Saccharomyces cerevisiae S288C: one gene and its partners. Changing the gene in region 1 together with any one later gene gives a genetic interaction. Each region holds a gene or a part of one and is shown on either strand. Other genes may lie near its edges. The genes, in order: IRC21, IRA2, PTC1 and POL12.

What was found.
Region 2: mutations in IRC21 (region 1) and IRA2 together harm fitness more than expected from each alone (negative genetic interaction), as found in Saccharomyces cerevisiae (4 studies listed by BioGRID).
Region 3: mutations in IRC21 (region 1) and PTC1 together harm fitness more than expected from each alone (negative genetic interaction), as found in Saccharomyces cerevisiae (4 studies listed by BioGRID, with this or other methods).
Region 4: mutations in IRC21 (region 1) and POL12 together harm fitness more than expected from each alone (negative genetic interaction), as found in Saccharomyces cerevisiae (2 studies listed by BioGRID).

What each region holds. Positions count from the first base shown.
Region 1 is NC_001145.3:411,768-415,188, forward strand, and holds IRC21 (Irc21p), read right to left. Parts: upstream 1,107-3,421; coding exon 501-1,106; downstream 1-500. Other genes in the region: DNA-binding protein ABF2, read left to right, coding at 1-353; SDD2 (Sdd2p), read right to left, coding at 1,269-1,706; RCO1 (Rco1p), read left to right, coding at 2,215-3,421. UniProt on the Saccharomyces cerevisiae protein: Involved in resistance to carboplatin and cisplatin. Is probably involved in a pathway contributing to genomic integrity.
Region 2 is NC_001147.6:169,090-174,697, forward strand, and holds the start of IRA2 (Ras GTPase activating protein IRA2), read left to right. Parts: upstream 1-1,980; coding exon 1,981-5,608. Other genes in the region: ATG19 (Atg19p), read left to right, coding at 1-885. UniProt on the Saccharomyces cerevisiae protein: Inhibitory regulator of the Ras-cyclic AMP pathway. Stimulates the GTPase activity of Ras proteins.
Region 3 is NC_001136.10:437,296-441,254, reverse strand, and holds PTC1 (type 2C protein phosphatase PTC1), read right to left. Parts: upstream 1,347-3,959; coding exon 501-1,346; downstream 1-500. Other genes in the region: MED2 (Med2p), read left to right, coding at 1-241; proteasome regulatory particle base subunit RPT2, read right to left, coding at 1,895-3,208. UniProt on the Saccharomyces cerevisiae protein: Serine and threonine phosphatase. Involved in tRNA splicing and cell separation.
Region 4 is NC_001134.8:150,532-155,361, forward strand, and holds POL12 (DNA-directed DNA polymerase alpha subunit POL12), read right to left. Parts: upstream 3,080-4,830; coding exon 962-3,079; downstream 1-961. Other genes in the region: YBL036C (pyridoxal phosphate homeostasis protein), read right to left, coding at 1-689; STU1 (Stu1p), read right to left, coding at 3,317-4,830. UniProt on the Saccharomyces cerevisiae protein: Non-catalytic component of DNA polymerase alpha, which in a complex with DNA primase (DNA polymerase alpha:primase) constitutes a replicative polymerase.

The DNA of each region.
Region 1 (3,421 bases):
CCTTACGTCCTGCTGAAATCAGCAAGATTGCCGGTGAAAAGTGGCAAAATTTAGAGGCTGATATAAAGGAAAAATACATTTCTGAAAGAAAAAAGTTGTATTCTGAATACCAAAAGGCGAAGAAGGAGTTTGACGAAAAACTTCCTCCAAAGAAACCAGCAGGACCCTTCATTAAGTATGCCAATGAAGTTCGTTCGCAAGTTTTTGCACAACATCCTGACAAGTCTCAATTGGATCTAATGAAAATTATCGGAGATAAATGGCAATCCTTGGATCAAAGCATTAAGGACAAATACATACAAGAGTACAAAAAAGCTATCCAAGAATATAATGCTCGCTACCCTCTCAACTAGACCGCGGTACTCTCACAATGTTTTTTATGCCTTTATTCTTTCCGTTCCTATCCAAACAAATAAATAAATTTAACTTAACCAAGCAAGTGTGTAGTGTTTTTATATCCTATGTAAGTCTTCAAACTTTTTTTTTATCTCTGGTAACCTTTATTCGCATACAACGCCAATGAAACAAACCTGTAATAATTTTTCATAGTTAACCCATTGATGATACTTATTAAAATATGTAATCAAATCGTCACTATTACGGTGCTTTATTAAGATGTCCGTACCACCTGGATGGAACTTCAAATAACTAGAAATGTCATAGACTTTGCCGTTTATAACGCACCATAACTCGTCCTCACCTTTACAATGCTTCTTTACGATTTTTCTGTTTATTCTTAAGGGTGGCATTATTTTATAAAGGGGTATCTTTTGGACAAGCAATTGGTTCTTCAGTTGTGAAGGTGAAAACTTGAAGTTATCTTTTTGAAATACCGGATCATCGAGTAAATCCTGGATAAGCTGTAGCGAAACGAATTTTGTATAATAATTCGCTGGATTGGAGGTTAGAGAGTGCCAGTCCAGAGCACTGTGCCCAGGATCTAGTCTTATTTTGGTTCTTACAAGAGGCTTTCTTGACGACTTCGACATGGGCATATGCAGCGGGGATGATATGGCAGGATGAGCAACGCTTAGTCGCTGAGGAGCAGCGAATCTGACATTTGGTTTCGAGTTTGAAACATCTCTGTTCATGCCGTCACTACTCATATCTCTATGAGTGTAATCTAAGCACCTGCTAATATGTTATATTCTGCTTATTCGTCCTTTTGCTACACATAATTAATGTAACTTTAACTCTAGTTCTATAAAGGATATGATTTGTACTAAATGTAACATTATACGAAAAAACATATTATTCGTTTATATAAACTAATCAAAGAAGTCGTCATCATCTTCGTCGTCATCATTTTTAGCATTCTGCTTGTCAAATGAATTCAGATCTTCGCTGAAATCTTTCCGTTCGAAGATAATCTTACTGTTATTTTGTGAATTTTGTTGCTTGGCGATACCATTCAAGATTGAAACAATTTCAGCTTCAGTGATTTTATGAGTGACGTTGTTTGTAGCAATCAGTTTCTTTAAGTATGTCTCTACTGCTTGGGCCCTGTCTCTACGGACCAAGGCCACTCGAGATAATCTTTCTAAAGCTTGTGGCTCCAAGAAATTTGCAATAGCTGCACCAACGGGAGCGGAATTTTCACCTCCACCATTATTAGCACCGCTATTTCTATCGCCGTTGGTACCCCCACTGTTGTTTTTCAACTGAGCCAATCTGGCTTCCCTAATAGCTTGTAACTCTGGGTCCATATCTGAGCACACACTTCCTCCTGAATTGTAATCCAGAGAGCAAGAAGATTTTTCAACTTTTACTCTTGGTTCTCCTTGTAGAACCACAAGTGGTATAAAAATTCTCGCTTACCCAGCCCAAAAATTCTCATCTGTTTCTCATCTGTTTCTCGTCCGAATAAGTTTCCCGTTCGCAGCTAGGATTTCACCTGCTCACCATAATAGGCAACTTTCTTCCTCATGTAGGAAATTATACTATTGCTCTCTGTTGCAAGGTTATTTTTGAGCCTTAATACCATATTAGTAGATATAAATACATATATATCGTGTTAACCCATAAGTGGTAGTTTTAGTAGCTCGCTGCAAGATCTGCCTCATTCCTTTGTAGAGAACGACGTACCCACTACGCGTTTGAACATTTGCAACAAGCACGAGAGGAAGGAAGAAGAATACCAAGTATAAACGAGAATAATCACCATAGAAAAACCTATAAAAGACACTTCCATTACCATCTGCTAATAATAATACAATGGACACCAGCAAGAAAGATACTACTAGGTCGCCCTCACATTCCAACAGTTCTTCTCCTTCATCTTCTTCTCTCTCTTCATCTTCTTCCAAAGAGAAAAAACGTCCTAAGAGACTATCCTCCCAGAATGTAAATTACGATTTGAAAAGGAGAAAGATCATCACTTCTGAAGGTATAGAAAGATCATTCAAGAACGAGCATAGCAATCTTGCAGTTGAAGACAATATCCCGGAAGAAGAACCCAAGGAACTTCTTGAAAAGGACTCCAAGGGTAATATCATCAAACTTAATGAGCCATCCACCATCTCGGAAGATTCGAAGGTATCTGTCACTGGATTGCCGTTAAATAAAGGTCCTTCTGAGAAAATCAAGCGAGAGTCTCTTTGGAATTATAGAAAAAATTTGGGAGGCCAATCGAACAACTCAGAAATGACGCTGGTCCCCAGTAAAAGATTTACTCAGGTGCCGAAAAATTTTCAGGATTTGAACAGAAATGATTTGAAAACGTTTTTAACTGAGAACATGACTGAAGAGAGCAATATACGGTCAACTATTGGTTGGAATGGCGATATAATAAACAGAACTCGTGACCGTGAACCTGAAAGCGACCGCGATAATAAAAAGCTATCAAATATTAGAACCAAAATAATACTTTCAACGAATGCTACCTATGATTCAAAAAGTAAACTATTTGGCCAAAATTCCATCAAGTCAACATCGAATGCGAGTGAAAAAATTTTCAGGGACAAGAACAATTCAACCATAGATTTTGAGAATGAAGATTTTTGTTCGGCTTGTAATCAGTCAGGTTCTTTTTTATGCTGTGATACATGCCCCAAATCCTTTCACTTTCTTTGCTTAGACCCACCAATTGATCCGAACAACCTGCCTAAAGGTGATTGGCATTGTAATGAATGTAAGTTTAAAATCTTCATAAATAACTCAATGGCAACTTTAAAAAAAATTGAATCCAACTTCATTAAGCAAAATAACAACGTCAAGATTTTTGCTAAATTACTTTTCAATATCGATTCCCACAACCCAAAACAGTTCCAGCTACCAAATTATATAAAAGAAACCTTTCCTGCTGTGAAAACGGGTTCGAGAGGACAATACTCTGATGAGAATGATAAGATTCCATTAACTGATAGACAATTGTTTAACACTTCTTATGGCCAAAGCATAACTAAATTGGACTCTTACAACC
Region 2 (5,608 bases), on another chromosome or scaffold:
AAGGAAAGCTTATGTAGAGAAGACGCACACGAAGATCCCGTATCTCCAAAGGCTGGTTCCGAAGAAGAGATAAGCCCTAATTCCACCTCTAATGTGGTTGTGTCAAGAGAATGCTTGGATAACTTCATGAAACAACTCCTTAAGTTGGAAGAATCGTTAAATAAGTTGGAATTGGAGCAAAAGGTCACAAATAAAGAACCTAACCACAGAATAAGCGGTACGATTGACATACCAGAAGATAGGTCCGAACTAGTGAACTTTTTCACAGAGTTGAAAACAGTCAAACAACTTGAGGACGTTTTTCAACGTTACCATGACTATGAGAGGTTATCACAAGAATGTGACAGTAAGACGGAAATCGCCTCTGACCATTCGAAAAAGGAAACTAAAATAGAAGTGGAACCCCCAAATGAGCGCTCATTGCAAATCACAATGAACCAAAGGGACAATTCATTGTATTTCCAGTTGTTTAACAACACAAACTCTGTTTTGGCAGGCAACTGCAAACTGAAGTTTACTGACGCTGGCGATAAGCCAACCACGCAAATTATTGACATGGGTCCTCATGAAATAGGAATAAAGGAGTACAAGGAATACCGATACTTTCCATACGCACTTGATTTAGAGGCCGGCTCCACTATCGAGATTGAAAATCAGTATGGAGAAGTGATCTTCTTGGGCAAGTATGGCTCTTCTCCAATGATTAACTTAAGGCCACCTTCAAGATTATCTGCAGAAAGTTTACAGGCATCCCAAGAGCCATTTTACTCCTTTCAAATCGATACGTTACCAGAACTGGATGACTCTAGTATCATCAGTACATCCATTTCACTCTCTTATGACGGTGACGACAATGAAAAAGCCCTGACTTGGGAAGAACTCTAGGTCAAACTCTATTTTTATACAGCAATGAGTACCTTTTCACATACACATAAATATATTAAATATAATAAATACAATAAATATAAAATAACCCTTTTCGAAACTCTTTACTTCCTAAGGCCTCTCATTACTTATCACCTAGCATCATGCTCTTCATACATGCCATCTACTTTCAAACGATATACGGCTAACCAGAAAAGTACGGACAATCAGGGACGAGCAGGGACATGACGCCTTCCGCACAGATCCCAGAGAAAAGCAGGGAAACAAGAAAATAAGAAAACAAGAAAAACAGTAGTTACCCTTGTAAGTGTCATCCACAACAGAACCAATACTCTTACTCTTCCGCTCATTCCCCGCAGAATGATAGAACTATTCTAAATCCCCTTGCCTTGCTTGGCCTTGACTTGGGTTGGGACTTGGACCTCTAGAACCGATGTGCCTTCAAACATCTTAGCGAGATAAGAGTCTGCCATTAATGCATCGAGCCAATATCTTGGACTAGTACGAGGTTCACGTAGCCTTTCTTGCACGGCACCAGCGTCCCACCCCAAGTTCTTTGCTATACTGACCGCCTTACACATTTTAGTGTGATTCCAACCCAAAGTAGCTCCTCAAAAAGGGTCACCCGATCGGTGAATCAATCCGCGGCGCAGAAATGTTCGTAGAGCTCTCGTTTCTTCTAGAACGCTCCCTTGATGAAACGAAAATTTCCATCACAATAAAGCTCGCACGCCTTTTTGAAAACCCCAAGCTTTGCTGTGTCTTCTTGTGAAAAGTTTTGCCCAACGATTATCTATTCTACATATAACCGGGGAGTTAAGCACATCCTATTGCCCTACATTCTCTCCGCTTACTTCATTGTCTAGAGCTCCTGGGAAACAAAAGACCGAAAAAGCGAAAACAAAATCAGAACAAGGCTTAAGTACTTTTTCACCAATTGTAGCAAACATTTAACCACATTTTAGCACACTAGCATATAGCATTGTCCTCTGTTATTCGTTTTGCTTTTCTCCTTTAGTGTTACTTTTCCCCCAACGTTACACCATTTTTTGATATCAACTAAACTGTATACATTATCTTTCTTCAGGGAGAAGCATGTCCCAGCCCACTAAGAATAAGAAGAAAGAACACGGGACCGATTCCAAGTCATCCCGCATGACTCGGACGTTGGTTAATCATATTCTTTTTGAAAGAATTCTCCCGATCCTTCCGGTGGAGTCTAATCTAAGTACCTATTCGGAAGTGGAAGAGTATTCCTCATTCATTTCATGCAGATCTGTGCTCATTAACGTTACCGTTTCCCGAGATGCAAATGCTATGGTGGAAGGCACCTTGGAGTTGATAGAATCGCTTCTTCAAGGGCACGAAATCATTTCAGATAAGGGTAGCAGTGACGTTATTGAATCAATACTGATTATACTAAGATTGTTAAGTGATGCGCTAGAGTATAATTGGCAAAATCAAGAAAGCCTTCATTACAACGACATTTCGACTCACGTAGAACATGACCAAGAACAGAAGTACAGACCAAAGCTTAACAGTATTCTGCCCGACTACTCGTCGACTCATTCCAATGGCAACAAACACTTTTTCCACCAGAGCAAACCTCAGGCACTGATACCGGAACTGGCATCGAAATTGCTTGAGAGTTGCGCGAAGTTGAAGTTCAATACAAGAACTTTGCAAATTTTACAAAATATGATCAGTCATGTTCATGGAAACATTCTAACGACTTTGAGTTCCTCGATTCTTCCCCGCCACAAATCCTATCTGACAAGGCACAACCATCCTTCTCATTGTAAAATGATTGACTCTACTCTAGGCCATATTCTCCGATTTGTAGCGGCTTCCAATCCGTCCGAGTATTTTGAATTTATCAGAAAGAGTGTGCAAGTGCCCGTAACACAGACACACACGCATTCACACTCCCATTCACACTCTTTGCCATCTTCCGTTTATAACAGCATAGTGCCCCACTTTGATCTTTTCAGCTTCATCTATTTAAGCAAGCATAATTTTAAGAAATACTTGGAACTCATCAAAAACTTATCGGTGACGTTAAGGAAAACGATTTATCATTGCCTACTTTTGCATTACAGCGCCAAAGCAATAATGTTTTGGATAATGGCTAGGCCTGCGGAATATTATGAACTCTTCAACTTATTAAAAGATAATAACAATGAACACTCGAAATCCTTAAACACGTTAAACCATACACTTTTCGAGGAGATCCATTCGACTTTTAATGTGAATAGCATGATAACCACCAATCAAAATGCTCATCAAGGCTCATCTTCCCCTTCGTCCTCCTCGCCATCGTCACCACCTAGCTCATCATCATCGGATAACAACAATCAAAACATAATAGCAAAATCCTTAAGTCGTCAGCTTTCTCACCACCAGTCATACATTCAACAGCAGTCTGAAAGAAAACTACATTCTTCATGGACTACAAACTCTCAATCCTCTACTTCACTGTCATCTTCAACGTCTAATTCAACAACAACTGATTTCTCTACTCACACTCAACCAGGAGAATATGACCCTTCCTTACCAGATACTCCCACGATGTCTAACATCACTATTAGTGCATCTTCATTATTATCTCAAACTCCAACTCCAACAACACAATTGCAACAGCGGTTGAACTCAGCAGCTGCAGCCGCCGCCGCAGCTGCTTCACCATCGAATTCCACCCCAACTGGATACACAGCAGAGCAACAAAGTCGCGCTTCATACGATGCACACAAAACTGGCCATACTGGTAAGGATTATGACGAACATTTTTTGTCTGTCACTCGTTTGGATAATGTTTTGGAGTTATACACGCACTTTGATGATACTGAGGTACTACCACACACATCCGTACTGAAGTTTTTAACTACTTTGACAATGTTCGATATTGACCTTTTTAATGAATTAAACGCTACATCATTCAAATATATTCCTGATTGTACTATGCATCGTCCAAAAGAAAGAACAAGTTCTTTCAATAATACTGCACACGAGACAGGTTCCGAAAAGACTTCGGGTATAAAACATATTACACAAGGCTTAAAGAAATTAACTTCTTTACCTTCCTCAACCAAAAAAACTGTAAAATTTGTGAAGATGTTGCTAAGAAATTTAAATGGGAATCAAGCTGTATCAGATGTTGCCCTCTTAGATACAATGAGGGCCTTACTATCATTCTTTACAATGACTTCTGCGGTCTTTCTCGTGGATAGAAACTTACCCTCAGTACTTTTTGCCAAGAGACTCATCCCCATAATGGGGACAAATTTAAGCGTCGGTCAAGACTGGAATTCAAAAATAAATAACAGTTTGATGGTTTGTTTGAAAAAAAACTCCACCACGTTTGTTCAATTACAATTAATATTCTTCTCTTCAGCTATTCAATTCGATCATGAATTATTACTGGCACGTCTGAGCATCGATACAATGGCCAACAATTTAAACATGCAGAAGCTATGCCTTTATACTGAAGGATTCAGGATATTCTTCGACATACCAAGTAAGAAGGAATTGCGGAAGGCAATTGCGGTTAAAATTTCTAAATTTTTCAAAACATTATTCTCCATTATAGCAGATATTCTTTTACAAGAATTTCCGTATTTTGATGAGCAAATCACCGACATAGTTGCTTCCATTCTTGACGGTACAATTATCAATGAGTATGGTACGAAGAAACATTTCAAGGGGAGCTCACCCTCTTTATGTTCGACAACCCGGTCAAGATCAGGATCTACATCTCAAAGTTCAATGACACCAGTTTCTCCGCTGGGACTGGATACTGATATATGTCCAATGAACACCCTGTCTTTAGTTGGTTCAAGTACTTCAAGAAATTCTGACAACGTTAATTCATTAAACAGTTCACCAAAGAACTTGTCTTCTGATCCATACTTGTCACATCTTGTGGCCCCAAGAGCGCGTCATGCTTTAGGTGGGCCATCTAGTATTATAAGGAATAAAATACCGACTACATTGACTTCACCTCCAGGAACGGAAAAATCTTCACCAGTACAACGTCCGCAAACGGAAAGCATCAGTGCCACACCAATGGCCATAACAAATTCTACTCCATTATCGTCGGCAGCATTCGGAATTCGATCGCCTTTGCAGAAAATAAGAACGAGGCGTTATTCCGATGAAAGTTTAGGAAAATTCATGAAATCAACAAATAATTACATTCAAGAACATTTGATACCAAAAGATTTGAATGAAGCAACTCTTCAAGATGCTAGAAGAATAATGATTAATATTTTCAGTATTTTTAAGAGACCGAATAGTTACTTCATCATTCCTCACAATATAAACTCGAATTTACAATGGGTTTCGCAGGATTTTAGAAATATTATGAAACCGATTTTCGTCGCCATCGTAAGTCCGGATGTAGATTTACAGAATACTGCTCAATCATTCATGGATACCTTATTATCGAATGTTATTACTTATGGTGAATCAGATGAGAATATCAGTATTGAAGGGTATCATCTTCTTTGCAGTTACACTGTAACATTATTTGCAATGGGCCTTTTCGATTTGAAAATTAATAATGAAAAGCGTCAAATTCTCTTGGATATAACTGTCAAGTTTATGAAGGTTAGATCACATTTAGCAGGGATCGCGGAGGCCTCACACCACATGGAATACATAAGTGATTCTGAAAAACTCACCTTTCCGCTGATTATGGGGACTGTTGGTAGGGCCCTATTTGTTT
Region 3 (3,959 bases), on another chromosome or scaffold:
TAACAATACCACCAACAACGACAGCAATAACAAGAACAATTCTATCACTACCGGAAATGATAATGAAAATATAGTTAATAATGATTTACCAACGACCGTTGTTTCCAATCCTGGAGATAACCCTCCTCCAGCCGACAACGGTGAAGAATACTTGACATTAAATGATTTCAACGACCTTAATATTGACTGGTCGACCACTGGAGATAATGGCGAATTAGACCTCAGCGGCTTCAATATATAGCTTGGTCTTCCTATTGTTAACTATTGACTTGTAAACCGTGTTGTGCATTCGCTACGTGAATTTAATTGGTATATATATGATAGAATATGTTCTCCAGTTTAAAAATCTGGAATCCTATTCTACTAAAACCTCATTCGTCATGTGAGAGATGCATGCAAAATAGATTTGGTACGTTTATACATATACATACATACACACATACACATTGCATATCTCTATGTCTATGCATAATTTTTGCGCGGTTTATAACGGATCCTTCTTAGAGGAAGACAACCATGACCGTTACATTATCTGTTGTGCCATTTTCCAAAGCATATCTAACCAAGACTTTTGCAGCTTCATTAGGTTCAGTAATATCCTTGATTAATTCGCATGCATCTTGATCATCAATAACATCCCATAATCCATCACACGCTAGGATTAAAAATTTGTCCTCAGAAGTTATTTCTACGCTCGTGGTAAATGGGCTGCCCACTACTAAACTATCAAAAAATTTATCCCCTAACGATCTCGTCACTGCCAGCATACCATTTACACGACTTTTCATTATCAGGCCACCTGCTTGTTCAACTCTCTGCATCTCCAAAGTGTCAGATGCCTTATGATCATAAGTCAGTCTTATGCTGTTCCCGTTTCTAAACAATACTATTCGAGAATCACCAACATTTGCTGTATATAACTTTCTTTGGTGTTGGGCTAAATCCATTGAATCATCAGAAACTGAATCCGGAAGCTCCCAACGTAATACGCAAACAGCAGCAGTACATCCACTATTTCCTACAAGTTTTGTATTAATTTCTTCGTCAATGGCTAGGAATGAATCGTTCAATACATCTCTAACATCTCGTGTTTCATCTGCCAAAATGTTTTGCTCTATAATTGTATGAAGATGTTTACCACACCATTTGGAGGCCTGAATCCCAGCATGTCCATCAAACACCGCGAAATATCCCCAATCTAATCTTGAAGCAAAGTTTTTAACATACGTATGAACATCTTCCATTGTCCTCCGAAATTTCGAGTTTTTATTTTCCGCCACACCTACTCTATAAGTTATGTCATATGGTGTTTCTGGCCTTTCTAAGATTTCAGAATGATTACTCATTATAATGATTTTTAAAAGATAAATGCAGTGCCTAAATGATATATGAAGTAAGAATGTGCAAAATCTCGTATACTCGGTATAGAATGGAATTTAACTCACCTCCTAATTGATAATACTGCCTATTTATTTTCTTTTCAACGACAACAAAAATAAGCGTTCACTTACTTAAACTATCAAAACTTGTTGTGTTTGGGGTCTGTTAATGTAAAGGAATCCGGATAAAAATTTTGAGACAACTTTGAGAGCTGTTTAAGACGAAAAAAAGTGACCTCAAACACACGAATAATAATGTTTAACTAAGCTTTCAATTTGCAAAGGTATACTTTGTCTTTTGAGTTTTAGTTTCCTATAAAATTAGGACAACAAACCCTCTCAGATGTGTTCACCAGTTTTCCTTTGCAGTTAGAATTCGCGAAGGCCCCGACGCCCTACCTATATTAAGTTTTTGAAACAAATATTGCACGTGATACAAAATGTACACATATTAAGCTTTGTTGAAGCATTACTTATATACGTAAATCTATTATAGAAAAATGTAAATGGGCACATCACAAGTATAAACCTTCTAAATTTTCCTCAACTTTATTTTTCATGACTCTCTCCTTGGCTTGTTTAAAATCCTCCGCTGTAACTTGCATTCTTCTCTCTCTAAGGGCTAACAAACCTGCTTCTGTACACATTGCCTGGATATCGGCGCCTGACAAATCATCCTTTGTTGTTACTAAAGTTTCAAGATTAACGTCCTCACTTAAATTCATCTTGGAAGTGTGAATCCCTAAAATTTTTTTCTTAGTACTTAGATCAGGGTTTTCAAATAAGATTTTACGATCAATTCTCCCAGGCCTGATTAATGCTGGGTCAAGAGTCTCGATTTTGTTAGTGGCCATAATCACCTTCACATCCCCTCTGTCGTCGAACCCGTCCAGCTGGTTCAGCAATTCCAGCATGGTTCTCTGAATTTCTCTCTCACCACCACTATTGGAGTCATATCTTTTAGTACCAATGGCGTCTATTTCATCAATAAATACAATACTTGGTGCATTCTCACCCGCTACTTTGAAAATTTGCCTACACAACCTAGGACCATCCCCCAAATATTTTTGAATTAACTCTGAGCCAACAATCCTTAAGAATGTGGCAGATGTTTGATTTGCAACAGCCTTTGCTAGCAATGTCTTACCTGTACCGGGTGCACCATAAAGAATCACACCCTTGGGAGGTTTGATACCCATCTCTTCATACAGTTCGGGGTGTGTTAACGGTAACTCTACAGACTCTTTTATTTCTTGAATTTGAGATTCTAAGCCACCAATATCACTGTATGATTCTGTTGGCGACTTATCCATTTTCATGACCGAAACCATTGGATCGGCGTCATCCTGTAAAACACCTACGATGGACATGGTTTTATGATGCAATAACACAGAACATCCAGGCTCTAGTAACTCTTTATCGACAAAGGATAAGATAGATACATAATAATCAGGCATAGTTGGACTTGTCACTATCGCATGATCATCGTCTATAATTTCTTCAAGGGTCCCAATGCTCAATGGATTTCCACGTATTTCTTCCAATTGTTTCTTTTCCTCCTCCTGCTTCTTTTCAAAGGGTTTTAAAATTTCAGAGTTAGAGACAAATTCTTCTTCTAATAACAAATGGTCTTTAATTCGTTCCATCCTTAGAAGCTTTAACTTACAACGAGTACTTGGATATATGTTGGGTAATTTTTCAGCAGTAGCTGGACCTCCCTTTCTTTTCTTACGACCAAATTTAGATTGAACGGGAGGTTCATATTTGGGTTTCTGATTAGATCCCTTCTTCTTCTTTTTGTCTTGTCCAGATGATACACCTTGTCCCATTTTATTTTCTATTAAAAACGCTGTCTCTTCTTTAACTTGAATTGACTGTAAGCTTGACACTGATACGCATCATATTCACTAATATTCACATTAACCTTCTTTTAGGTAAAAGAAAAGAGACATTTGCCACCGGAGAAAAACCGTTAATAACTCGTTACCCGGAGTGATAAAAATATTGGGAATATAAAAATGACGACAACTGCAGGACTCGAACCTGCGCGGGCAAAGCCCAAAAGATTTCTAATCTTTCGCCTTAACCACTCGGCCAAGTTGCCTTACTAATGATGAATTATTGACTTAAGATATATCCCAAACCTAGGAATATGTAAACCTGCTGGAATATTATTTGTTAGAATAAAAATCAACTATTCTCTCTCAACTAGTAGTCTTACTACGAGTATATTATAATGTACAATGTTAGATGATGACATAAGGTATGAGAAACTGTCATAGAAGTTAGAGGAAGCTGTATTCTGTATACATAATATTATTGCCTTTATTAACAATGGAATTCCAACAATTATCACTTGTTGATAGTTAGAGGTAAAAAATAGTATTAATGAAGAAATAAGTATTGATCTTCTTATACTAAATAAGAGAGGTATATAAAACACACGCCGATTGGTCATATTAATCATGACCAATATAATAGTGATTCCGGTAGTTACTATACATTGATGTGACGACTCATATTCCTCATATATGTACCTACCATATCATGTTCAATTAATAGATCTTTAGCACAGCTTCA
Region 4 (4,830 bases), on another chromosome or scaffold:
GCCTCCCTGAAATCAGCACTCATCCCCATAGACAATTTCAATGATGTACCAAATTTAGCATCAATCTTCTTCTTCCACTCAACCAGCGTAGCAAAGTCTCTGTTTTCTTTGCTATCTTCATGAGAGACGTTCCATGAACCAATAGTCATTAACCCATTCAACTTAATATACTTGCATTCTTCGGATAAGAAGAAGTCGATGACTTCAAATATTTCTGCTTCATTATTCAAGCCCGATTTTTGATCCTCATGGGAGGTATTAATTTGAACATTACACAATATTGGGTTGCAATCTGGTTGAAATTTAGCCCTCGATTCGTTTAATTTTTTGGCTTTCTTCAAGGAGTCGATTGTTTCAACAGAGTATAAATTTGGCACTTTAGCCAAATCTTTACATTTATTCGTTTGCAAACCGCCAATAAAGTGCCACTTGATATCGTCTGGTAGTAATTTTGCCTTTTCGATCAACTCTTGAACATAGTTTTCCCCGAACTCCCTCACACCATGGTCGTAAAGAATTTGTATATCGCTAGCTGGTTTCAATTTCGAAACAACCAATAATAAAATTTTGGAGGCATTTTCATTAACATGAACATTTTTTGCCTCTGCATTCACAACTTCCCTTACAGATTCGTATTGGGCAATTAATTGTGTCTTTCTATCTTCATCATAAGTAATACCAGTGGACATATTGCAATGTGATGCTGGAATCTTAGTCAAAAAGGAAAGAGTGATGCCTATCAGTTTTTTTTTTTATTATGCATTTAAGAGTAGTCTCTACTTATGAACATTTTCTCTGGCCTCTGATCACGTTACTTTATTACCCGGATACTGATCATGTTATGGTCTTTAATCAATAAGTAAGTTATAGAGCCAGTTTCAAGGTCGATAGTTCAGGTGTATAACAATACTTTTTGGTGCTACCTTGAGCTATTCCATTAGTTAAGTTTGAATTAAATATATCAACTAGCAATCAAGTCAACTCTAGCGCGCTTCCACACGTTGTGTAGATAAACTGGCTCTTCACCTTCAACAAGCGTCAATTTCCCGTCTTCAAGATCAGGGCATTGGACAGTAATTTGTGCATAGGATCCCCTGTTACCTGTTGCTCTAATAAATCTTCCGGGATTTATAACAACTACGTTTTGGACAACTCTTGCAAAGTGTTGTAATTCACTGGGTATAATCATTATGTCAGGCGAGAACCCACCAACAAACTCTGTTAGTCCCAGATAACTCACGTCTAAATCTGCACCAGATATATGTTCATAAACTTTTTCTTCTTTGCTTTCCATATCATTGGTTTCCTTCTTCGTAGATACGTCTTTTGGTTTTATTCTTGTACGAATACTACCTGGAAATATGGGGTAATACCTGCGCTGTTGTAAAATATGCTCAGAAACACGATCTAATCTATATCTTGATGAGGTAGTACCGCCTTTTATGACTTCCTTTAGATCTTTGAATGTATCAACGTTTGAGCAACCGAAGTATATCTCATTTATTTGAAAAGATGAAGGATTAGCCATGCATTTGAAGTTCCTTTTAGGCAGCTGTAAAGCCTTTCTAATTAAAGAAGCTTGTGGATATGCGGCGTGATTAGAAATTGCATCTTTTGTGGAGGGTATCAATACGGTTTGGATATGTGGTGATATGGTTTTTAGAATAGGAGTAAATAACTTCAAAAAAAGCTCGTCCAATGTTTTGGGCTGTGTCTTGAACTGGGGAAAATTTGGCAATTTACCACTCGCTATCAGAGGATGGGTGATATCTATAAATGGGCCAAACATTATCAAGACGTGAGGTTTTACCTCATTATTTATACTATCGATAAATTCTTGCAACAATTCGAGGGAGAAGTTATCATTTGCAAAGTATGGGCCACAGGTCACGATAACCTTCAAAGAAGAACCTTCCAAATTTGCTTGAAACTCCTGCAGTTCCTGCGATGTGGACACTGGGGAGTTTGGATAAGGTAGCGGCAAAATAGAGTTAACGGTGAAGTAATCCCCATTAGCATTTTTACCTTTGAATGCCACAATTTGGCCTAAGAAAAACGAAAGCTCGTTGACCTGCGATAGATCTAACCTTACCCTTCTTCCAACGCCGCCCATTCTTGAGGTCTCTAGGGAAAGCGATTCTGGATTCAAAAACTTGTCGTAGGTCGGCGAATCTGGAACTATCCTTCCAACAGCATAAATTTCGGACTGAGATTGAATAGTTGGATCAGCGAAGTCGTTTGGAGATAACTTATAGTGATTTTGAATAATCTTAGTAAACGATTCAATTTGATCATCGAGGACATCAGACGCTTCCTGTAAGTTTTGCCTCATTGTTCTGAATTTATACTTTTTAGCATCATAAAATGGTTCTACTTTGACCTGGTTATATGATGGTTCTTCAGTCGAAAGAAGGCCTACATTTGGATTACCAGATGATATTTCAATATTTTCAGGGTTCAAAGAATCCAAAATTTCACCAGCAGGAACATTTTGCCTCGATGTGGTAGGAGTGTTTGTTGTTGGAGTTTGGAATGTCGACGAGCCGGGAGTCTTGGCATCCGAGCTTTTAGCGTGGGACAATGGAGCACTGTCACCCACAGCATCTTCTGCCATGCCTGGAGTAAACTCCAATTTTAAAGAACTATTTCCTTTTTCATTTGTTTCTGCCTCAGAGCCTACATTATATGTTTGCTTGGAATCACTGAGTGAAAAGGGACCATGTAACTTTCTTTTTTTTAAAGTCGGAGTCTTTGGAATACTAAGGCCAAACAAGGGACTTGAATTCAAACTTTTTTTAATCACTGGTTTTTTTGTGGATGTGTTTACCTTAGAGGACGATGAAATTTGGTTAGCACGCTTTTCCATTTGTAATTGTAAAAATTGTTTAAACTCATCTATGTTCTTGGAAGTCAGATCTGTGTGAGTTTGACGCCTTTGATTGGAGAACTGCTCCCATTTAATGTATAGATCCTCGACGGACAATGCATGCAGTTTAGTTAAATTCTCTAATGCAGTGATGATTTCCGGCTTGTCTGCATCAGGCCCAAAATGAGTGATGACATCGATAGATCCGCTCATTTTTTTTTTTTTCAGTCACTTGCTCCTGCCTAAATTTACCTTCAAGCTTTGTTGAACCAATTGACAATCAATTATCTTGATATTTTTATATGCAAATATATTATGTATATGAAACAAAATGTTATATGTGTCTACAAAGAGCTCATATTATTACAGTTTTAGAAAAGAGAAAGAACTAAGAAACTCTGGTGAGACGCGTCACGGTAAAAAAAAATTACGCGTCTACCACGCTATTCTCTATTCGTTTGAGGCGATGAACATGATCATTTTAAAGACATTCTTAGGCAAACAATCGAATAATCGTTCGGTTTCTTGCTCAGTATAATCTGGAGTAGTTTGGAGGACTCTCAAACAACGAGCTAATACCACGGCACTGGTGAAGTTCCACGAAGTATTATCAGTCCCCATAATGAAATAGCTCATTGTTTGGATAATCTCTGATATATTAGATTTCTTGAATTGTTGGCAAATGGTAGGAGATTGCAGCATCTTCCATAAGGTCTCAATTAAAAATGTTTCTTTCACACCAGCGGTGTCAGGCTGAATTTCAGTAACCAACATGCTTAGAATTCTTGTTGCCGAATGTTTTTTGAAAAAGTGCGATAACATTAGACTGTCCCTGAACTCTTGCGCTAATTTATAGATTTCGTTTCCATAATCAGAAAATTTATTAAGCATTAAAAGGATCTGTTCCCATACTTCTTCGAAACACATTCTCACCGAAACGCCATCATCGTCGGCATTCTCGCTTAGTGTATTTAGAAACTTTTTCCAAACCAAAAGACAATGAACGAGAATTATGGACTTACTGGATATTTTTGATGGAATTGAAGGCGTGTCATCAGTAGATTTCAAAAGCATAATAGCAACATCCAGTAGTTCATCAAAACCATTTTCATTCGTCAACCAATCGGTCATTTTTTGATTTTGAAAACAAGTAATCAAGGGTTCGATCAGGTAATTTATATGTTTCATAGTGAACGATCCACTTTTTATCCTGTTTATTGCCTTTGACATGTGATTGAAATAGACATCAAAATCCATCAAAGTGTTGCCATTAGAATCAACCATTAAAAGATGACTAATTTCATATACAGTCAAGGAATCCCTTGGGAAATTATCCATGATAAGCAAATGCATCTTCTCTGATTTTTTGTTATTAACTAGTTTCATCTTTTTGGAGTTTATGTCTTGTTCAGTTAGTGCTACGTCTCTTTCTCTCTTTACTGTGATCCTTTGCTTTTGACCCATATTCTCGTCCCCGTTTATTTTGATTGGTGACATTGTTTCCAAATCAGGCTTTTCATTCTCATTCCCATTTCCAATAAGTTTTTCTGGCTCATTTATTATCTTTGGAGGATCTGTACTGAATTTTACTGTTGGTTCATTATCGTCCTTCAATTTCCTTTCGGTATTTTCACCACTGTTTTGAAAAATTTCACTTAAATTCAAATCAGATTTTTGAGAATTTTCCATATCTATATCATCTTCCTCCTTTGCTGGGTTTGGCTGGTCCAGTTGATAAACACTTACTATTTTCGTCATTTCTGAAAGCTTTTTATCTTTGTCATTATCATCATGAATAACTACGCTGTCTGTGCTTGATGTTCTTTTTCCAACGTTATTCTTCAACTCTAGTGTTTTATCAGTTTCCAAGTTTTTGAAGGGATTAATCATTGTCATTTCCATGCATTTCTTAACATCATTTTCGTCTACAGCATCGTCGGATTCCTCATCCCCTTCAGATTTTT